Linked DNA regions of Drosophila melanogaster. Changing the gene in region 3 together with the main gene of any one other region gives a genetic interaction. Each region holds a gene or a part of one and is shown on either strand. Other genes may lie near its edges. The genes, in order: trx, corto and EloA.

Evidence for each region.
Region 1: of EloA (region 3) and trx, changing one suppresses a phenotype caused by changing the other (phenotypic suppression), as found in Drosophila melanogaster (one study listed by BioGRID).
Region 2: of EloA (region 3) and corto, changing one suppresses a phenotype caused by changing the other (phenotypic suppression), as found in Drosophila melanogaster (one study listed by BioGRID).

The regions. Positions count from the first base shown.
Region 1 is NT_033777.3:14,282,924-14,289,878, forward strand, and holds the start of trx (trithorax), read right to left. Parts: upstream 3,981-6,955; 5' UTR 3,286-3,980; intron 1-3,285. UniProt on the Drosophila melanogaster protein: Histone methyltransferase that methylates 'Lys-4' of histone H3 (H3K4me). H3K4me represents a specific tag for epigenetic transcriptional activation.
Region 2 is NT_033777.3:5,081,535-5,090,112, forward strand, and holds the start of corto (corto), read right to left. Parts: upstream 5,539-8,578; 5' UTR 4,492-5,538; coding exon 2,839-4,491; 3' UTR 1-2,838. UniProt on the Drosophila melanogaster protein: Essential protein required for proper condensation of mitotic chromosomes and progression through mitosis. Binds to specific polytene chromosome sites, many of which are shared with the posterior sex combs (Psc) protein.
Region 3 is NT_033777.3:23,248,861-23,256,636, reverse strand, and holds EloA (elongin A), read right to left. Parts: upstream 5,075-7,776; 5' UTR 4,761-5,074; coding exon 4,680-4,760; intron 4,389-4,679; coding exon 3,801-4,388; intron 3,746-3,800; coding exon 3,368-3,745; intron 3,313-3,367; coding exon 3,095-3,312; intron 3,037-3,094; coding exon 2,942-3,036; intron 2,885-2,941; coding exon 2,685-2,884; intron 2,620-2,684; coding exon 2,328-2,619; intron 2,269-2,327; coding exon 2,189-2,268; 3' UTR 1,566-2,188; downstream 1-1,565. Other genes in the region: wda (will decrease acetylation), read left to right, coding at 1-151, 229-529, 590-936, 1,014-1,143; Rad60, read left to right, coding at 5,413-5,470, 5,535-6,037, 6,097-6,210, 6,274-6,380, 6,436-6,614, 6,674-6,896, 6,955-7,045. UniProt on the Drosophila melanogaster protein: SIII, also known as elongin, is a general transcription elongation factor that increases the RNA polymerase II transcription elongation past template-encoded arresting sites.

The DNA.
Region 1 (6,955 bases), 9.0 Mb from region 3:
TTTAATTTAATTGCCATCAATTATGGTAAAAAGATTAAGAAATCAAAGCAAGCGCAAAAGGTAAAATAACTTGAATAAGAAGAATGGGCCACCAAAATGAAACTGAATACGAGCACTTAACGAAATTAGATAAAATATTTTAATTGAATAATGTACATCGATTTGAAGAGTATATCAAAGTATAAGAATGCTTTTTGAGTTGCAATATGATTGATTGCTGAGATTGGCAGCAGATTATAAACCTTTTCCCAACATTATTGACCTATAAATAGATCTAGTTTAAAAACAAATCCCATATCAAATCAATCGGATGACAGCATGTCGAAATAATGCCACTTTATTTCACAATGATAAGTATGTTCGTCTGAGCTGCGAAGTGATATGAAAACTTGCTCGTAAATTGCTTAATTGATTAAAATTGACATCTAATTATACGTTTTTTGTTGTGTACCAGTAAACCCCAGTACACATAGCCCCGTCTCTGTCGCACTGCATGCCAATAACCGCCAAAGAGGGGCGAGCACAAGACTTGCAAATTGCGAGTAATTGAGAAGATTAAAGTCAAGCACACGAGAGCAGACAGAGATGGCAAATGAGTGGGAGGGAGAAGGAGACTGGTGGGAGGGGGCCCGGTCAAAGAGAGGGAGAGAGAGTCAGGTAACGAATCGACTGGCAAACGATTAAAGCCATAAACACGAGCACGACAATCACAACAACTTACATACAACACAAACAGCTACCAAATAGACAACTATCTGCATGCCACACACACACTGCTGCACAAACTCGATTGACAAGTTGGAAAAAATCGAAGTCAACCTCGCACATAAAATATGTAAATTTGTATGAAATTATTCCAAAATGTCGTTTATAAATGATCACTGAAAAAAATGATCGTAAATGGGAGGTAAATTAAATGAATTTTAAGCCCCACAGTCACTCCATAACTTTTCCTACTCCACTTATTAAATATTCTTTGAATTAATACATAATTATTTGATCAATAATTGGCAACATTAACCGCAAAATTTTTCTCAGTACAACAATGAGAGAGCCCAGAGAAAGCAGCTGTAGAGGTGGAATCAACAAATGAGCGTGAGCCCCATTCCCCAAAAACAAAAAGAGCGGCAGAGAGCACACGCGGGGGAGTGTATGTTTGTATGCTTGTGCACACACACATACACCGTATTTGCTTGTAAATCAAAACACGCAGCCAAAGGTGAAACATGAAAAATGTGCGCGCCAATAAATGTGCGAAAGGTGTCGTGGTGTGGGTGCCGCATGGATTGGTGTTGGGATGGATGGATAGAGATGGTCGGATGGATATCTGTATCTCTGTGGGCCATGAGCATTGGGCATTGAATATTGAGAGCCGACTTGGCAGCTCGCAATTTTGATGTCCAATTTGCCACGAAACATGAACTAAATACTTGTACGCGAATGTTTGTTTGCGTGTGTGGGCATCTGGTTTCGTGGTGTTTATGCTGTGTGTTGGTGGTGGTGGTAAAAGGTAACGAAACACAAGGTAAAATAAATTCAACTCAGCTGGCAGCTGCAGCCTCTCAAAACGCACTGTAAATAAAGGTGTAAATACAGCTAGCTGGTAGCAACAATGCAAACTAATAATTCGGCCACCGAAGCAAATAGAAATCACACCTACAGTGATCGCTCGCTAAGCGAAGCATTGTAGTGCTCATGTTTTAGAAAATAGATTATCTTGGAGAAGAAGAACAAATAAACAAATGACTTTTTTCGATTTTACAATAGGAATTATGTAAACAAGGATATTTTAATTTAAACCCGTTGAAAATGTCCCATCAAATGATCTTAAAATTTGTATTTGTGAGTAGACCCATCCGAATTCAAATGTGCAATGATTCTGTGAGGCGTGATCGACGAGATGCGGACGCAGTGGAGCGTGAAAATGCATTCGGATGAGCATCGGTTGGCCCGCATCGCATATTCATTCCCATTCAAGATCTCGCATTAGCTTACGGCTCAGTTGGTCGACTTTTGAAAGGCGAATTTTAATATGCGCAATTACTCATTTGGCGATTTTGCGCCTCAATGTTGTTTGGCGCGTAGTTTCCCACACACAAACACACAGGCATCGACACTAGCCGATTTGGAATTTGCCTTTTTGATGGCAAATAAAAAAATGGCGTCAACAAATACTCAAACAGCCAATGTACAAGTACATATATTTATTTTGTAATTATTCAACAGCTTCTAGGCAGCGAACGGCAGCGGCAATCGATTTAGCTCCTGCTGCTGCTGAGATCGTTTTTCATTTTATTGTATAATTTATTAAAAGTTTCAACAGCGCCAGCAACAAAACAAACAGCAATTTTAGTTATACAAACACTTTGGCCATGTGAGCCCAATAGAGAGAGAGAGAGAGAGAGAAAGAGACGGTGAGAGCGAGAGAGTGATTTGATTTAGAATGAGGCGACAACAAAAGCAATTAACTGGTCACACATTAAGTTTTATTTATCGGCGATGCTTTATTATAGCTCGCCGCTGTGTGTGTGGGTGTGTTAGCGACTGTCATTTACCGTTCGTTTTACGGGTGGTAAATAATGGAAAACGTCGTAGATGGAAACTTGCAGTAAAATCCCCCTGGCTAACAGAAAACGAATAATATTGTTTCTTATAAGAATGAAATATTTGATGGATTAACTTCAGGAGTCATATGATTATATGATAATAGATGTACTTATTTTAAGCAAAAAATATTTCGCCTCCTCTTTAAACTGTTAGTATTAGATTAAAATAAAAATATTAACTAATGAATTCGTTGTTAAGAAAGTTGTTATTAAATCAACAGGTTTTCCAGAAACAAGACTTGCTTACTAGTACTACAAAATAGAACAAAACTAAATCAAAAATGCTACCATCTGCTGCTAGTCGCACTCAACGAGGTCCCACTGTAGACATAAATCGCAGCGTGGGCCATAAACTAACAGTATTTGTTGTGCAGCCTAATTTGCATTATCGAGTGAATAATTGAACGACACTTTCCTATTCTTTCTAGCTAAAAACAACAATCTAAACTACTGACTAGAGGTCTACAAAGGTTAGTGGGGACTTTATGAATATGAAATCGACGGGATGGGATATGATAATGTGATGTGGTGTGCAATGGTGTACAGTATCTCCGGGTGCATTCCAAATCAATATCTGGCATGCTTATATATGTGCGCAAATATCCATTGATATATATTCACGGCAGACTGACTCATCGGCAGCCGGCGACGCCTTTTATCGCGGCGATCTTATAATTACCTTGCTGTCGAGCGTGTATCCAGATGCAGATTGAGATTCGATACCGTTTCAGGGGTTGTTGTTACCATTTGGCATCCTTGGTGCACGAATATAATACGAAAACGAAAATAATCCACACTTGGGACAATTTCACAACAAAACGGGACAGAAACACACGCACTCAAAACACTAGTAAACACAAAATACAGGGGTGGAGATTGCGATTTTCGTTTTTATTTTCGTTCACTTATTTCTTGGTTTTTGCTTTGGCTCTCACATTCGCCGCTCTCTCACTCTGTCGCTCTGCGCTCACAAAACAAACGCACAGGTACACGCACACACGAACCGAAATGGCCCGCTCTCTTGCTATTTCGTTCTCTCTCTCGCGCCCGCGCGTTTCGTATATACATATGTTGCTACGTATGCGCGTGTGTGTGTGTGCGGGTGTCTGTATGTATGGGTTTTACGACGATGAAAAATGCCTGCTTCTTCTTCACAGAAATCAGGTTTTCTGCTCTCGATTTTCACACTTTTTTAACAATTGAACGCCACAAATTCGATGTAATTTCATTGGCAGACACTGCATACCATATTCACACACACTATTTAGCACAGTTTATCAATTATTTTCCACATTTTCTGCGTTTTTTCGACGAGCGAAATGGAAATAGCAAAGCAAAACGACCGGACAGTGTGACCGCGCCGATAACTATAAAAAATACTGTGAGACTTACAAATAAATTCATGTGTGTGCAGACCTGGTCACACCGATATTTTAGTAGGGTGTCTCTGCTCTGCGGGGTGTGTGTCTTGGTTAAATACGGAATGTGTCTCTGCTAGTTCAAAGACAAAAGCGTATTGCTACAAAACAGTATTTTTCAAAATTTAAAACCACTTTCGGTGTAACTGCTAATTTGTTTAATTTGTGGTAATTAAAATGTTTAGAATGGAGTGTACAAAACACATTAACCTTGAATTTTTGAATATCCAATATTATCACACTTTCCGTTCAATATAATTTTTAAGTACCCTTCGGTATCTTATTGGGAAAGAAGGAAAGAAAAGAAACCGCTTCGGTAAACAATTTAAAAAACAGGAGATTTTCCTAGTCCACATTCTAAGTGGCAAATATCAATCACCTCATTGGCAATTCCATTATGCCAGTATATGAAGTTCGGATTAGTTGCGATTTCATAATGAAGCCATAATGTGCGGACACACATAAACAACTTGTCAGCTGCGTCCACTTCGCATTTGGTTCTTTGCCAAAGTTATTAACCAATTTTTTGGGAAGACACCCAAAGGCTTTATGCATTCGCAAGGCGCGATGTAAACAAATAGATTTTGGTCAACGAATCGAACGTGTCCGCTCAATTAGCACATATTTGATTCACAATGTAAATCCAACTGTTGCCGGGCGAGAAGCGTAGGGCGGTAATTCGGTGGCTTAAATCGACGTCATTTCGACGACGTTTCACCGAAGTGAACAAAAAATTCGCAGGAAATTGAATCACTGAGCGCCTGTAAATTTCTTGTTCAGTGACAAAAAATGGTAACCCACATTCAGAAGATGTTATCTCACAAAAAGGCATTGCAATTAACCTTATTAGTATAGAAAGTTCACCAAGAAGGACGTGTTAATAGTTGTGGCCTGAATTTAGTAATTACTTATGTAAATAAAAATAATAAATAACTAAATATTATCAAAATAATATAATAAAATAAAAAAAGTAATAATAATGAAACTATAATCATAACAACCATTATTGCTAGTAAATGAAATAATTCAAATGAATGCTAATAATAGGTACTAAATCAATTTCCCTGGCATTCCTTCTATTAAACACGAAAACATAAACAAATTGATCAACTCCTTGTAACTTGGACTATCAGCTATTGGCAACACGGGCAGATCGAGCTTTGTTTTTGGCAGCTGACGCATTCCGCACCTCATGGTTAGTCGGTCCGTTTAGGTGCGCAGTGATAAGGGGTATCGATAACAATATATGTATATCTAACATGGATTACCTTGTACTGTGACAGTCATTCGGCGCTTATCTGGGCCGCAAACAACACGAATTCGTTGGCCTAATCATAATGAAAGTCTTGTTTTGACAGCAGCAGCAGAAGCAGCGGGCGTATAGCCACTATCACCGGATTTCCAAAAATAGTTCTTCAACTTTTACCGCAATCTGCAATGCAAACGATGACGTCCGCGTTGGTTGGAAAATTTCCAGCTCATCGCTGAAAAAGGGATTCCTCCACAGATCGTGGGCTTATCATGCATGCTAATTAATCCTATGACGAACTCGGGAAAAAAAAAACAATAAAACCTAATAGAAAACGCGAGGAGCTTGATAATCATTGTACTTGTGCACCTGTCGCCGTCATCCAGTTATCATTTAATAATCAAGATGAGTGCCAGAAAAACAGAGAGAGCTGCTTAAATGATTATCACAAGTTTGCGGGTACATACTTACATACATACGATTATTTGCGTACAGTGTGTGCCATCTATATAATATTTTAGTTTAGATTATTAAATGCAAGCTATTGTCATGAAATCTAATAAACTTAATTTAATCAATTTAATCTAATAAAATCAACATCCAGTTAAAACATGGTTTTTGTAAGGGACACCACTGCGTATGAGTGATCTGAAGTGGGAAAGTAAATTAAGTAAAGTAAAACTCGGATGGTTCATCACACCATGCAACCACTGTGCCTGTAATATTCTCTTTCCCTGCTGGCTAGTCCAACGTGTTTGCTATCACCATTATCACTCGAATTAGGCACAATCATCTAACGAATTCGTATGGCCCCTATGGTGAGTACTTGGAAAAGTAATTCCAGGTTGGAGAAGTGAGCAGTGGAAGCAGTGGAGGCAGTAAACCAACATCCACGAATCGAATGAGTATTTGTGTGCACTTCCAGTGCGCGATAATGCCATTCTTCAATTCCAGCCGAAGAAACCGAAAGCCGAGAGCCCAGCTGAACGCCCAAAGAGAGTCTTCTGGAAGAGAGTCTACCTCGCCGGCGGCGGAGAATCGTCGCTCGTCGCTTGTTCGCCAGTCATTTCAGCAGTCACTTGTTTTTGAGTGCTGCTTGGAGTTGGTCGCTCGCCTGCTGCGCTCTTAGTTGTTTTGGCTAAGTTCACTTAGTTAGTGCCTTCGTTTAGCGGCGAAAAAGCTGGAAAAAAACGTATAAAATATATCGCGTTGTCGTCGCCGTCGTCGTCGTTGCCGCTTTTGTATCTGTGTTTGTGAGTGCCGAAAAGATGAATATATAGAAATACACACAAATAAACAAAAATATTATAAAAAGAAGAGTTGCTATTAAGTGAAATATATGCACAACAATTACTTAAGTTAGAGAACGGTTACTGTCGTTGCCATGGGACAAACGTAAAGCCTCGATTGTGTGTATTTACACACTCGGTGATCTGCGCTGCTCCTCTCACTCATTTGTATTGTTTCAAAACAAAAAAACAAGGCGATGGAAAACTAGAGAAACCATAAACAAAAGCTGCTCGTTGTTGTCCCACAGAAGCAGCAACAATCAAATTAATAACTTAAGTAACAGCATCAACACGAACGACGGCAGTTGGAATTATAACAAGAAAAATCCTACAAGTTAATGGATATTTTTTTCCTCTAGATAAAAAGTAACACAAAAAGTCAACTGGCAAAAT
Region 2 (8,578 bases), about 18 Mb from region 3:
GTAAGATAATCCACAAAAAAAAAAAAAAAAAAAAAAAACCACAAAACTAACAGCCCTCGAAGTAACCACTTGATCACTGAGCTCATTTTCAGACATGGGGAAATTTGTCGAGTAACGAAAGCACTCTAGTTTGGAACTCGAGGGACTGGCCATTATCTGCGATGCCCACACATGGAACAGTAATCACATCAGATACGAGTGTGAATCCAAAGTGCAGCTTAGTAATCCCAGACGAGACGAGACGATCCGAGCTGAGCGGCACCTGCCTAACGCGGCAACGGGGCGGATGAGTGACGACAATGGCGATGACCTCGCATTCGAATTGGGGCGGTGGGGCGGTGGGTTACAGGGGCCATCACTCACCCAGCCGCATGCAAATGGCCCCAGCAGCTGATAGTTGATTGCTCAAACGAAATGAAAACAAACAACCGACGCTTTCAGCTGGAGCTGGATCCGATCTCCAGTATATTTTAATTACACTTGTGTGAATGCCGCCGGCGGCAATTGAAATATTTTTCCGTCTCTAATCTACGACCAATTTAATATGAATTGAATAAGTGAATAGATGAATCCCGCGGAGAGTGCGGCACCATTCAGGAAGCAGTGGCTTGTTTAGATTGGGCGTGCAAGCGGGACTACTATATATGGAAAGTGCCCAGTGGAGAGTGATTTCTAAGGTTTCTTGCAACAGATGCTGTTGAATGGGCTTCCACGAAGGATGGAGAAATACAAATGTGCTCTAAATCAGATTCATTTATGTGTTAAATGCAATTCACAGCAGATGAATAAAAGTCAAGCTCCCCTAAATAATGTTTTTCCTAATGAAATGACTTGTATGTTGAATAAGTTATGGATTAATATGTGGTCTGGCCATTTCTTCGACTAACCGATGCGTCTAAACTGGTCCCACAAATTCCTGCAATGGTTCCGTCGTTCTGCAATTGGACTAAAGTCTTTTCTTTCTTGAATCTCGAGTGGATTGCGACCGCATGGTCGTGGAGTAGAGTCGGACTTGTTTGGATGTAGGGCAGCCTAAAGCGGACAGATGAGTCAGTGCCGGTCCCCCGGCAGCGGATGTCGTTCATTTCAGTTGAAAACTCTTTTTTGGCTTAATTAATTCGACGATTGGCTTAATGGCGCGCTGAATCCTCAGCGGGTTTTCCTGCCCATGCATAAATTACTCAGCTATTTGCTTTCCGGAACCCAGCAACTCCCATGGAACCGCGCCAATCGCCTCGACATGCAATCAGTAATGAAAGCACACACTTTCCCGAGGGACCTTGGGGGCGAGCAAAAACAATTTCAGCTGATAACATCTCGCGTTTCCTGGCCACTCGAAACCATTAGATTTTGCTGCGTTTTCACCTCGCAACAAAGACCAAAATTAGAGCCGTAAGCACTGAAGGCAAAGGCAGTTCGGTTATATCACTGTAACGAATGAACTTCGAGAATGCTGGTCTTTGAAAGGTAAGTACAGTGAGGCCGCTGGTGGCGTGAACAAGAACGTATTTAAACTTCTAATCGAAAACAAAGGCGTAAAAGCGAAATAACCGACGTCGTGGAACACATATATGTACATAGAGTGGAAATCAACATCTCTCGATATCGTAGTGTGTTGCCAGATTTAGTCCTTCAACAGCTGGCTCAAATACATTAAATAGTATATAAGTATCTAAGTATAAGATATTAATAGTGAAATTTCAAGAGACGTCCTCATGTCTAGCCATAAATCGGAGCCCTGTAAGTTTTCGAAATTCGTCTCAGCTCAACGGTTTGCCATTAGCGAGGGACCCCTGTGCTGTGCGCCGAGGTCACCCCAACCCGCTGCCCGGTCCTCCATCAATGACAATAATCAATCACGGCTCACCGCAGAGGAGGAGGCCATGAGGCGGAGCAGAATGAGGAAACAAAGGGAGCGAAGATGAAAATCGAATCAAGGCGAACAGAAAGAGGAGTTAGTCGGTCGGTGGTGGTGGGAAGTGTGAAAAGTTGGCCACAAAAGCCGACGGCAAGGGGAGTTTTCCTTGCCGCGGCCAAATCACTTGAACTATGCTTTTCTTGCTCGCTACGTTAATTGAAAACACAATTTACTTAATTTTTGCATATCTCGCTTCAAATTACGTTGCATAATTTTGAATAATTTTTATTCGTATTTTTTGTGTTGCTTTTTTCTGCTTTACTCTTCTCTCTCCATCGTTTGGTAATAATTTTCCTTTCATATTTTCGTATTCTTTCGGTAAATGGTTGTTGTAACATTTTGCTGATTTGTAATTAAATATGCGTATGTGTAACTTTTAGCAATTGTTTTGTTTAATGTTGCTGCCGTTGTTGTTGTTGTTGCAGTTCTTGTTTTTGCCGTTGTTGCAGTTGTTATTGTTTATGTGGTTGGCTTACACAGAGCGGTTGCTGTTGTTTCTTGTTGGTTGTTTAATTTAAATTAAATTAATTACTAAAATTATTTTATAACAAATATCACTACAATAGTTTGCATTTTTTTTTTTTGTTGTTGTTTGTTTTTGTATCGTTTATCAATTACTACCATTACTAAAAGAAAAAAAGATCGCTCATTTCCTCTTTTCTCACCGTCGGACAACAATTTCTCATAGCAGCTAGACAGAATTTTGTTTCATCTCTTAATATTTTTAGAGTTAATTACTTTTGATTCTAAAAGCTTTGATGGGTGTGTATATATAGTACTGTTTTAGGGGAGGATCTATTAATTATTCCTTGAGGCGGCTATTTCATCGACGCGTACTTGGTAGGCGCCTGTCTCATGTGTTGCAAGTTGCTGTTGCTGCTGCTGATGTTGCCGTTGTCCTGGTTGCTGCTGGTGCTGCATCACACGTTGTAGCAGGAGATCTGCGGCAGGTGCTGGAATGTGGGCGTGGCCGCCACCGCCGTGGCCGCCGAACTGAACGGCACAAACGAGGTCTGGCCGGCGGCAGCGGCGGCGGCTGCCAAGTTGAGCGAGGCGGCCGCCGCGTACGGGTGCATCCGCTGGGACCGCAAGTACTGGCGGTACTTTCCGCTCAACTTGTCGGTGGCCGTGTTCACTGCTCCCGTCGCCCCCGCACCACTCACCGCCCCGCCTCCGCCCACCGACGCCGACCCGCCCGAGGCCGCTCCGGCGGTGGGCGTGGCCGAGTAGAGGCGCATGGGATTGGTGTCAGGGCCGGCCTGATAATTGCTAGGAACTGTGGCCATCGGCGAGCGGTCCATCAGCATGGACGTCGCGTCCCACGGCGGCGGAGGCAGGCAGTGTTGCTGTTGCTGCTGTGGCTGCTGCTGCTGCACCTGCGACTGTTGCAGCTTCCCCGAGGCGACCGCCGTCTGTCCGTAGCTGCCGGAGATCATGGCGTCCCGCTTCCCGCCCCCTGCTCCGCCGCCACTACCCTTGGCCGCGTAGTGGCTGTGGGGATGCAGCATGTGGTGCGGCGTGAGGGCGGTGCGGGCGGCCAGCGCAGCCAGTTGATCCCACTGGCCGGCGGCTGCGGCGGCTATCGAGGCCTGGGCCGCAGCTGCCGCCGCTGAGTTGGCTGCATGGCTCTGGCTCTGGCTCTGACTTTGGCTTTGGCGTTGGCTTTGGTTGCTGCTGGCACGTTGCTGCTGCTGCTGCTGCTGTTGCTGCTGCTGGTGCTGGCGGACCAGACTAGACTGTTGCTGGGGATAGTGGGCCTGCTGCGACATCTGCGACATCTGCTGGTGCTGTTGCCGCAGTTGCTGCTGTTGCTGTTGGTAGCGTTGCTGCTGTTGTTGCTGCTGCTGGGCGCTCGTAGCCGCCCGGGCTCCACGCCGCGCGGCACTACTGCTGGGCGCCGTGGCCACCGCCGCACCGCTTCCGCCTCCGCCCAGGGCCGCTCCGCTGCTCAGCGAGCTGCTGCTCACCGCCCGCGCGGTCGCATGCATGTTGTTCACGAACGGGCTGCGCCGCTGCGACTCCATCTTGCGGAAGTAGCACGGGTGGATCATCAGCAGGGGCTCCACTCTCTGGCCCGCCGGCGGCTTGGGCTGGTTGGGCAGCTCGTACTCCACGCTGCAGTCCACGTGCAGCGGGATGCTGTAGTCCTTCTGCGGCGATGGAGCGGGGGCTGCGTTGCTGTTGCTGCTGGCAGTCTGCTGCTGCTGCTGCTGCTGTTGCTGCTGTTGTTGCTGTTGTTGTTGTTGTCTGCTGTTGGCAACCGCGGCGGCGACCTGCGTTTGGGTCGCCGCCGCATGGCTGTGGCGCGAGTTGCTGCTGCTGCTGGTGTTGGCGGGCTGGTGGTGATGGCGGTGGTGTTGCTGCTGCTGCTGCTGTTGCAGCAACTGCTGCTGGTGGGCAGCCACGGCGGCGTGGTACATGTGTTGCTGCTGCTGCTGGTGATGATGCTGCTGCTGCGTCTGGCTGTGCTGCTGCTGTTGCTGCTGCTGTTGCTGCTGCAGGGCGGACAGGGCCGACATGCCGTGCGACAGGGACGACATGTCGTAGTTGGCATAACAGGCGGCCATCGTCATTGCTGTATTCAGGGGATCTTTTAGCTTTTGCTCTCGTTTCGGTAACACAGAATTCGCTTTTGGTTTGCTTATTTACTTAGATTTAGATTTTTATCATTTTGCGGATGTTTTTCGCTTTCTTCACTTTCGAAAAAATTCACTTTTGTGGTTTTATTGGCACTGGTAATCCAAAAAGAGCGGCTAACGGTAAATTTGCCGCTGCAGGTAATCCGTGAGTTGGTTGTTGCTTTTGTTTTTGTGTTTTGAGATAGGAGGAACCTTAATCCATATGTGTGTTTGCTTTGCTTTGGAATTCGCTTTAACCCGTATAATATTAGCTGCTGTTCGCGTGTTTAACTTTGTTTCGTTACGTTTATTGTATATTTATTAGCGTTTTAGTCAGTCTTTGTTTGGTTTTACATAAATGCAGCGAACAGTTGGAGCTGCTGGGTGAGTGTGAGTGCGAGTGGGTGCGCGTGTCGGGGTGAGTGAACAATCCACGTGTGTTTTCAGTCTTTTTGCCCGTTTTTGCTGGCTAACTTAACCGTTGCTTTTTAGCTACTCCTTGTCTTCTTTCCATTCGGTTATGCTCTGTTCTGTTCTTTTCTCGCGGGGGTGAGTTCGCGGAGTAGGTAACTTGTTAGTTCTATGCGCAATAGAACTGCCGAACGAACGTCTCATCCACTCCGAAGAAAAACGCGATCTGAATTGTAGTTTCTGCTTTGTAGTTTTGCTGCCGCCGCTTGCTTCTCTGCCGCGGTCTCTGCCGACGTTTGTAAGCGCAGCGAGTATGCTGAATACGGAGCGCGCACGAAAAACAGCTGTTGGCTAGACGCCTACGCCTGTGTGTAGGCTTTGCTTTTATTGTTTTTGTTGATTGTCTGCCGATTTACTTATTTTTCGTATCACAATTGGCTGCGTTGCGTTTGTTTTTGGGTTTTAACTGCGTGTTCACCTTCGACGCGACGTTGAATCTTCTTAACTCTCTTCTTCGTTAATTACGTGCCACAGACCACGCTTTATCTCCTCCTATGTCCGCACGAATCGAGCTCTTTGAAGCGACTGACTCGAAACGTCGTCTTCGCTCCATTCTGCCGACGCCTACCTGCTGTTCGGCACAGCTGATGTTCCGTGACGTATTCAGCACACACACAGTCGCAGGAGACGAGCGCAGAGTTATTGTTATTGTTGCTTTCCTATATAAATTGCATTCAATGGCCGCTCTCTCTCCCTCTCTGTGACCGCTCTCTCTGTGCCTGCGTGTGTGTGTGTGGTATACATTCAGCCATGTTACTACACGGCGGCCATCTTTACAACTGCTTTGGTCGAGACAGAGAGAGACAAAGAGGCGAGAAAAGAGCGAGAGAGCGCACATTATTTTGTAATACGATGTCTTTAACCGTTTTAGTGCTTTAATTTTTTACGGCAAACGCATTTTTGGGAGCAGCTTTATGGGGTCGTAAAAGCAGATGGGTTCTAAAGGGGTTAACGGCGAGTTGAGAGCTAATTGAGCCGCACTAAAAACGGGGAGTTGAATGAATCTATCAGCATCACCTGGTTAAAATGGGAATGGGTTATTTTTACTTATGTATTTCTGAGCACTTTGGTACACCCCTAAAACTTAAAACCCATATAATATCAACATAAGCAGTGTGATCTCCACACAACTGCCTAAAAATCCTCTGCGACGCAACTTCGAACACACCTACGTAGTTCCTTAATATAAGAATACAACAAATACCCCAAGAACCTCTCCGGTTTTGGAATACGAAAGCTAAACTGCGCACTGAGAGACTTTCTGCAGACCAAAAAAGGAAAACAAATTGCAAAAACTCAAACAGACAGCGATATTAAACATTTCTGTACTAAAAAATGGGCAATTTAAGTCAGGAAAGGGCACTGTCTCGCTCGCACACACACAGCGAGAGAGCGAGAGAGAGTGAGAAAACGGCTGGGAATTACACACATTGTAATAAATAAGGAAGGTCGTTGCCATAGCAGCCGCCGTTGGCGTCGTTTTTTTCCCCCCATTTTGTTGTTGCTGCAAGAGAGTGGCTCGCTCTGTGGGGCTCATTCAGCAACTGCTGATAACAAATCAGCTGTTTTGTTATTTGGGGAGGTGTGTCCGCGTGCGAGTGTGTTGGTGAGTCTGGCTGTCTCTCTTGGTACATATTTGTTTTTTTTTTTCTCAAAGCATATGTTTGTTGGAATCGCTGTTGCAGCTGTTGTTGTTGTGGGGCTGAAAGTTGTTGCTGTCAAGTTGCCATTGCATTTCAGTGTTGTTGCTATTCGATGTGCAAGTAAAATGAAAACCTATGTGGCGGATTTGCATTGAAGCATGTCTTTTAATCCAAAAAGTAAAACTAATGCTTCTTATTGTCTACTAAAAACTAATAATTCGTATTATGTGCTAATTATTCTAAGACTCTTAAGAAAGAACATGATTGGTGCATGTATACAAGTTAATGGATACTATTGTTTGATAGCCTTAATGATTTCCTGCTTTTCTACTGTTGTTGCCATGGTTTTGTTAATGAATTGTCTTCATTGCATCTGGGATTGTGGATGGTTTTTGGAGTCTGGTTTGGGTTAATATCGACACTATAGTGTTGTAGCTTTATGCCGACTTTTATGGTGCTGTCGCTGCTGCTTTTAAGCCTTTTCTTTATTGGTGCTTCCGCCGTATTATTTGTATGGGTTTTGGATCTGATGTAGCTGCCAGCTTTGCACTCGTGCGTCCCTTTGTGTGCTTATTTCTGCTCTGCTGTGCTGTTTTTTTGCAGCTTTTTTCTGCCTTTGGTTGCTTTCTGGATTGATGTTGCTGCCGTGATGTTGCTGCTTGCGTGCTTAATGACGAGTCGGCCGCATTACAGTTTGATTACGGGCCGCCAATTTGGAAATTACCGAACTGCTTGAATTAGCGGGCCAGTCGCTCTGCTGGAGAGCCTATGGCTCAACCCCAACCCAAGCGAACGGCCAGAACGAACAAAAACGGGCAGCAGGAAATTGGTCAAGAGGGGCAACAGACAAAACGACAACTGCCAAGACGACGACAATGCCTGAAGTGGTATAGAAAACTTCGAAATTAGAAATTCCAGACAGATAATGGTTTACTCATGTGGGGTTGGCTGAATGCAATAAAATGCGCCCTTTGTGTTTTCATAACTGGTCAAAATACTATTTATTTCCGCTGTATTGCACTGAACGTGCATCTTGCAGGTATAAGTTCAAGTAAGTTGCAAGTAGATTCTACTTGATAGGATCAGGTTATAGTTATCATAGTTTTCGCAGTCTCTTACTGCAAGCCATGGACAAAATGAGTTTCTTTGTATCGGGGCTACGATCGACTATCGAACTCGGAAGCAGTGAAATGTATAATTTGTATTATTTTAGGGCAGCTCTATGATAACATTCAGCATTCTTGTTTGTCCCCAGGACATTTTTTTGACCGTCTGTTTTGGGATCTGGCATTCACTCATTAAATCGGTCCAACCCACATTTCCTGTTTCTCTAATCTCTGTCATCGTCTCCTTTTATATTTGCCTGCTGCATCGCCCTGCTGCCCGGATTGCCTCCTTTTCTTCCCTTGTGGCATATCGAATCCATAACTCAACTGCCTTTCTCCTGCAGAAGTCCAAGTCACGGTCCTCCCGATCCGTTCTCCCCGGCCCAGTCGGCCTGTACGGTGAAACCTGTTTGCATTATTAAGTAACCGCTAGGCCGGCAACTGATCCCGACTGCGACCGGTTGCGCTGCATGGCTTCTTCCCAAGAAGACTGTGTTCTGTGTTTCGTCGCTTCTATTCCCCGACGTCTGCACGAAACTTTCGTTTTTTATACCCGCTACTCGCTGGGGGTTAGGGGTATACGCCACTCTACAAATTACACTTTGCCGAACAGTTCTTCGGTTTGGTTTTCAACCGGACCTAAATAAATCATAAATATATATGAATATCTCATTGAAATCCTAGTTTAGGTGCACTTACAGGCCAAATCTATGCTGTTTATATATATATATGTCACTATGATGCAAACGTTAAAAAAAACAAATGCTGTACATCGACAGAAACGCGCATGGAAATTGAAATATTTATAACGTGCTATTAGGT
Region 3 (7,776 bases):
CGCAAAAGCGGTGTCCCTGGGAGCTGAACAATTGCGCGAATCAAGAGGAGGAGACGGATGAGGACAGCAGCGATGAGGATGTCAAGTGCTCTGAGGAGGAGAGACGGGAACGCAACAGGGCGCGACATTGCAAATATGCTGATAACTCCTAGTAAGTTCATCTTCCAGGTTTAGTATTGGTTTTATTTTTCAATTTTTAATCAACTAAAGTTTTTTTTTTCTAATTAGCAACGAATACGGCGGATTTCAGCTGCGAGGTCACACAAAAGGAGTCACCGATGTGCGCTTCTCCGCCCACTACCCACTCATGTATAGTGTGTCCAAAGACGCAACCATGCGGTGCTGGCGTGCCCACAACCTGCATTGCGCCGCCATATACAGAAGTCACAACTACCCAATTTGGTGCTTGGACGAAAGTCCAGTGGGCCAATACGTGGTAACGGGTTCCAAGGATTTGAGTGCGCGCCTCTGGTCGCTAGAGAAGGAACATGCGCTCATAATTTATGCCGGGCATACACAGGATGTTGAGGTTGGTTTAACCAAAAATGTCTTTGAACTTTTAGTTATATATATTTTTTTTTTCTGACAGTGCGTTGCGTTCCATCCGAATGGCAACTACATAGCCACAGGATCGGCAGATCACTCCGTTCGCCTGTGGTGTGCAACCAGCGGAAAATTGATGCGTGTCTTTGCCGACTGCCGTCAGGCGGTGACCCAGCTGGCGTTTAGCCCAGATGGAAAGATGTTGGCTGCCGCCGGAGAGGAAACGAAGGTGCGTATATTCGACTTGGCCGCCGGAGCACAGCTGGCTGAGCTCAAGGATCACTCGGCGAGCATTAGTTCTCTTTCCTGGAGCACGCACAATAGGCACCTGGCCACAGCGTGCAGCGATGGTACCTTGCGATTGTGGGACATCAAGAAACTATCGCCCATGAGGTTAGTTATATTTGTGGAATGGAAACGGAGCAATTTGTTAATATTGGTAATGATGATTTATTTTGGTTGCTCCACAGTGACAACAGTAGTGCTGGAAGCTCATCATCAGCTACAACGAATCGTGTGCTTACTGTCAATAGTTCCTGCCAGCGCTTGGTCGATGTTTTTTACGGGACCAGCAAGACGCTCTACTGCATCGGCACTTAAAGAAGACGGTTGAAAGTTCAGCCCGAATTTAGACTTTCTAGTGACGACTTATGTTTGAAAATAATTTATTTTGTAATAAGTTGTATATTATTGTTACTATCGTGTGAAACAATTCTTTATATAAATAATTCTTTTGATTTAACAATCCTGGTAGCTTTCTTGTGGAATAAAACGAGTTGGTTACAGTGTAATGCCTTTACCTGCATCGTCTACTGGTCACAGCTAAAGAATGTCTTTCAAAACGAAGTCATGGCATAAGTAATGAGTGGCCAATTTCCACAAAAGTTGAAAAATGTGTAACTATTAAAAATAAGACGAGCATTCGAATCGAATTTCAATTGTTGAAGTGATTTTTTTTAATATATTAACATTTTACCCAATACCTAAAAATGTGCAAAACTAAATAAATCTAAAGGTAATATAGAATTTTTTGGTTGAATTTAATTAGCGATGCATTAAGAGACATTTTACTGTTCTTCAATAATTTAGGTAGTTTCATATAGGTTTAGGATTGTGTAAATACATTTATATACAGCTTGGAACCTCTATGATTTTGGACATACGCACAGCCCTTTTGAACAAAGAACATTGAACTTAATTTTTAAATAATGTTGGAGTGATCAGCCTTCTGATCGTAAGTTACATGCAATCAATGAATTGAACAACTATAATCAAATATCATAACTTATGTAAATGAGCTTGTCTACGACCCAGCGGGATGCAACAAAAGCTTTATCTTTATCCGGTTGGCTTAAATATAGTGACTTATACAGCGTAATAAAAGAGGGCAGAACATGAATAAATAATAAATAGCATGCATATGCTACGCATGCCGACAGCAGCAGTCTGATTCCACAGCGCACTGGGAAGTAGAAGGTCTAGTATCACAATGTCACTTTATTCAGACCTGAAAGTCTTTGCCAATAAAGTTGGAAGGTAATCCCACCGTGAATGCCTAATAGATCGAGGTTGCTGCTACTGCTGCTGCTTAAGTTGTCGCTGAAGAAGTTGAGTATAAGATTGTAGCTATAATGAGTAAGCGCATCTATCGTTTGAGACGTCCGCGCATAAACTGCAAGGTCTTCGCCATTAGAGGTGCCTTCTTCGATCGCGCTGGTCCAGCCCCTTTTCAATAAAAATTATAGGTAAATTTAATTCTTAACCACAATCATTACAATACTTACCCACTTGGGCCGTGTCCCTGGCAGCGGCCAGCACACGTAGTCGGGCATCGCCCACCTTGGCTGCATTTGGAGTCACGCTGGACAAGGCGGCCACTCGGGCGGCTGGAGTGGCAATTAGCTTGCCCTTGGTGCCATATTGCTCTTGCTTGCGCTGCACACTACGCGGCGGCTTCACCATTGAGTCCACAAAGGCCAATTGCGTCTTGCGCACAGGCGCCTCGCTTATCTTTTGCGATGCCTTGATGCTCTCGGCCAGAATGCTAAGTTTGCGATCCTTTTCCTCTTGGCAGCGCTAGAACGAAATTTTTGTGTCAGCTTAGTTTAGTTTGCATTAATTTAGGGTCTTTGCGTCCCTACCAAAAACATTTCGCGCCACGTTTCCATCTCTTCACGCCGCTGACTGCGACAGTGACGTTGGACATGCTGTTGCCATAGGACATCACTGTCATCCATTAAATAAGGATTGTACTCCTCAAAGTTAAGCAGCTGCTGGGGGGTAGCTCGCTCCAAAACGGGACGTAGGACCTCAAACGGAACGCCACCCGTATACTCCAATGCTGAAAAACAATTAAGATGGTTATTTACATTCGATATGACCATTAGTAAGATCTTACCATCAATATTCTTTTGCAGCACGCGGGTGCAGAGATCAAAAAGGGAAGGGACCTGCAGGATTTGACCAGTTCTCACACCCGAATAGATCTTGGTGCTACAAAGTATAAAAAGTTGATATACTTTGTGCATCACATTATAATATCCTAGCTCACCGCATAGTTTTGGAAGAGATGCCCTGCGCTAGAGCTTCTGACTCATTAAAGTATCGTGATGCTTGCGCCTTGTGTGAGCCACCCTGGTTAAAGACGACGTCCATAACTGTCTGATTTAATGGCATGGGCTTGTAGTTATTGGATATGGTGGGAAGTTCTAGTGCAATGTTTGGATCCAAGGGCTCCAGCTTAGCTGTGGATGCCAACAGTTCGGGTTTCTAAAGAATAAACATATGTTACCACAACTTATAAAAATGAATTTCTACTAATTACTTTGGAGGTCGGTCGACTGCTAGTTGAGAGTGCCTCTTTAGATGACCCAGCAGTCGTAGGTGCTGATAGAGCTGACGAGGAAGGGGCTGCAGTTGGCTTGGCGACAAACTTGCTCTTGCTGTTGCTGCTGCTCTTCTTGCTACTTATGGGTATGTTTAGCAGACCAAGAACATCGTCAAAATTTGCGCCCATGCTGGAGTCAAAACCATCAGCGGAATCTTCCTCAGATTTCGATTTAACTTTTGGTATCTTTGCTTTTTGGGACTCCTCCTCGTGGCGTGGGGGACTATGGGAGCGCTTTGATGACTTGGAGGACGATGATTTGTGTTTGCTCGACTTGTCTTTGACTTCCTTTAATTCACTGTGAGAAGTTTTGTCCTGAAAAAAAAATGCATAAGAACAATAACCACTTTTGATCAAGAGGAAAGCATACCTTTTCGTGCTTGCTTTTGGTGTGTTCGCTCTTGTGGCTCTCGGATTTGCTGCTCTTGTGACTGCTGCTGGATTTGCTGGAATCCTTTGACTTGTGCTCGCCATTTGACTTCTTTTCTTTGTGCTCCTTAGCTTCCTTCTGACCCTCCCGATCTTTATCTCTATCCTTGGATTTATCGTGGCGAGAGCTCTTGTGCTTCTTATCCGAGTCAGACCTACTCTTGGAGTGAGATCGGCTGCTGCTGCTACGCTCATGCTTGGTGCTCTTGGCATGCTTTGACTTGTGCTTGCTGGTGTTCAAGTCCTCGCCGCTGGATGAGTTGCCGCCCTTGTTCTCCTGGTCGGGATCCTCGTCGCTGGACTTGGTCTTGCCCGAGTCCTCTTCGTTATGTATGGCTGTAGGCGTAGATGCGATCGAAGGGTCCTCCTTCGCCACCATTGCCTTCCACTTGGTTACCAGCGTCTTGGCCGCCACGCCAACTTCCCCGCTGATCTTGCGCAGGGCATTCACCGTCTTGCCAATTCCCGTTTCCTGCAGGTGCTCGAATTTGATCGGCAGGTTGAACAGCTTGGTGATGCAGTGCAGCAGCTGCTCGACGGGAGAGCAGGTAGCGAAAGAGGTGATTAAGAAAGATTAGCAAAAGACCGTGTGAGTGAAAGGTCAGCGGAAAAGAAGAGCGACTTAAAGTCGAGAAAAGTGACCTTGGCGGAGGTACATATGTTTGCGAATTTCACAAGGTTAAGTAAGGGAAAGCCAGCCAGGTCAGGTACATAGGGGTGATTAAATGGTTAGGAAAATGGGGGACTTGAATGATAGGAAGGCAGTAAGCAGTGGATCAAAAGGGATGCGATGGCGGTGCCAATGAGGGTAATAGCTCACCCGTTGTTCGTCCTCGCCGTGCTTCTCAATGCTGCGCTGGTAGTGGCGCACCACGTCCAGCAGATTGCTGGTGGAGGCCATCGCGTCGTCTCAAAGTATTCCACGCAAAATGAAATGAAAAAAATGGCACGCAGGCAGACTTTGTCGTCTCTTCCCGTTTTCTTTTTCTCACTTTCAGTTTACTGATTTTTTTTTAGGGAATCCAGGTAAACACACACGCACCCAAGGGCAAACACACGCACACGCACAAGTGCACACACACACGCGGAAAAGCCTCTGGTCGCGAGGCTCTAAGTTATTTTCAATAGCATTACGGGCCTTTATTATAATACATTCGATTTTTGCTTTTGCCAGGCCAGCAGCGTTGGAAACTAAATGAGATTTGCTTTTGACGGCGTGGCGCTTGTCAACACTGGCCAAACAGCTGTCGGCCAGAGTTGCTCTACGTCACAGTAGGCTTGTACAAACATTTAGTGAATTCAATCGTGATAATACAAATAATTAACATGTCCAAATCATCGATACACACATTAAATAAAATCGAATTGTAAATTACATTTGACTACCAGCAAATACTTTGATCGTGGTCTCGTGTCGTGTGGCTACCCTGGTCACAGTAGTTATCGGATATCGATTTTCCTTGCAACCACTGTGGCGTCTATTTGGTTTTGTGTTTGTGTTTATTGTTTGGCGCCGTTATTGGTTTATTACTGACTGTTACTGAGTGCCCACGATGTCCGACGACGACTGCGATATATTCAGTGCTGCTCGCAAGCGGATTCCCGAAATAGGTTAGCTTTAAACTGCAGAAATCCAAGTTTTTCCACATACCTTCGCTTTTGTCGTCTTTATCAGCTTTGCCCAAGAATCCTTACAATCTTGGCAATGATTCCTTCTCCAAGGAGGTGGACTACGATTTCATTGAAGACCTCCCCAAGAAATCAACTAAAACTGGCAAACGAAAGAACCCTGCAGCGACGCGGAAAAATCCACCCAAAAGTCAGGATGATGCTTCGCCACCAAAACAGGCAGAACATAAGGCTGTGGAGCCAGAAGAGGATATGAGAACAGAGCGCTCCCTATCACCGGTATCCCTGTTGATATTGGAGATGGAAAAGAAAAATGGCCAGCAATCGGATGTGGAGAAGCACGCCAAAGAAAATGACGTTGGTCCTGTGGCCAGACGCACACGGTCATCGTTAAATAGGTCAGAAATGGCGCCACCACCTGTTTCACCGACTGTGGAGGTGCCCACACAGACGAAACCAAAGAAGCGCGGCCAAAAAAAGAGAACATCTCTAACAACCACAACCAGCAACTCTGCTTCGATGGAGGTCTCATTGCCAAGCATTGTAGGTGTATGTTTGAAATTTCGAATAGAGATCTTGGGTATTTTCTAATCTCTTCATATTTGTAGCAGAACAATGAGCACATTAGCAGACGGTGGACGTTGGCCGAAGTTGCAGCCCGTTCCAAAGTGGTGGACAGTATTGATCTGGTATCTGCGGTCGCTCCCCGAGTGGAGGGATTTGTAAGTCCCTAGAAAGAAGTTGTACTATTCAATAAGGCTAATATTATACTTATTTCTTCACAGGTTAATCTAGACTCTGAAGACGAGGGTGAAAAGGAGGCTCCTCCTGTCGTAGAGGAAGAAAATATTTTTGATAACGATAATCCCACAATAGAAGTAGCTTTGTCGTGGTAAGTTTTAATATATTTATCCTTTTTCGTGATTAATATAAATATTTTTATGCAGGCTTGGCGAGATCCAGATTTATAAATTGCGGCAGCACCAAAAGTTTAAGCATCTGTTCAAGGAGTTAGCATCACGCAATGGGATAGATGAGAATGATATAACGGTGGATATGTACTATAACTTCGTTGGACCTGAGGATACGCCGCACAGCATTGGTCTCAAATCATTTCATACGCTCAGTAGGTGTCCTCTATTCAGATATATATTATTATTTGAAAATTTCTCAACTATTTAACAGCTGGCCATCCAACAAAGAGTCACAATAATAACAACGTGGCTGCTAAAATTGACTACAATCCAGAAGCTCTTTGCCGGAAACCTAAGAAGTTTCAAGTTAAAGTACAGGCGGATAAATGGAAGCATCCTTTGGTGATACCCATGAAGAAAACTGATAATTTCAAAATCATATTTATTAAGTGTGCTGAGGAGTTGAACTGTGATCCCCGAACCATTAAATTGTTGTAAGTACTAAAAGCTGGAAAAAGTAGAGACAATCCACTGAATTTGAGGTGATTTCAGTTTTGACGGTGACTTGTTGGATCCAAATGATACGCCCAATAACCAGGATATGGAGGGCAACGAAGTTATAGATCTTAAAATAAAGGCTTAAATTTTGAGCAAATTTATCTATTCTAGCCGAAAAATATTTTTAAAAGAAATTATATTAATGTTTTGTTTACGATTAGTTAATTGCTGTGCAAGATTTATTTTATTATCAAATGTTTCTATGTATGATTGAATATTTCTAATTTTCTTTGTACTTTTATTTGTTTCATTTGGGATGATTTAAGGAATATATTATTTGTTTTTCTACATTGCAGTCACAAAATTCCATTACATTGCGTACAAAAACAACAAAAGCGTATTCGCACTTCGACTAGATTTCAGCAATTTGTCACCAAGTGGAGCAGCGGGCAACTTCCAAAAAACCCTCAAGCATTCATTATACACCCCTAATATTTTGTTTATCTAGCATATAGCGCACTCACACAGAGCTGGAAACAGATCCCAAATGGTTGTTTATATTGGCAGGAGGAGAGCGGATGCTGCTGAGGGGGATGGTTTGTGGTGGGTTCAGTAGTTGCCTCCTTCCACCGGCTTTGCTCTCTCTCTCTCTCGCTCTCTCGTTGCTCTCTGTTCCTTATTCTTGTGCGGCTTTCCTTGGAATTTCACTGCACAAATTCTGACACACGCAGGATAATAATCTCTCTCAACTGAGAGCAACTGAGAGAGGAAAGCTCTAATGGGAAAAGCTCTCGCCAGCTGAAGGGAATTTCCTCATTTCGCTTACTTTTCAATCAGAAAGAGTTTATCCTTCGTGCTTGATGGACGCAACATTTA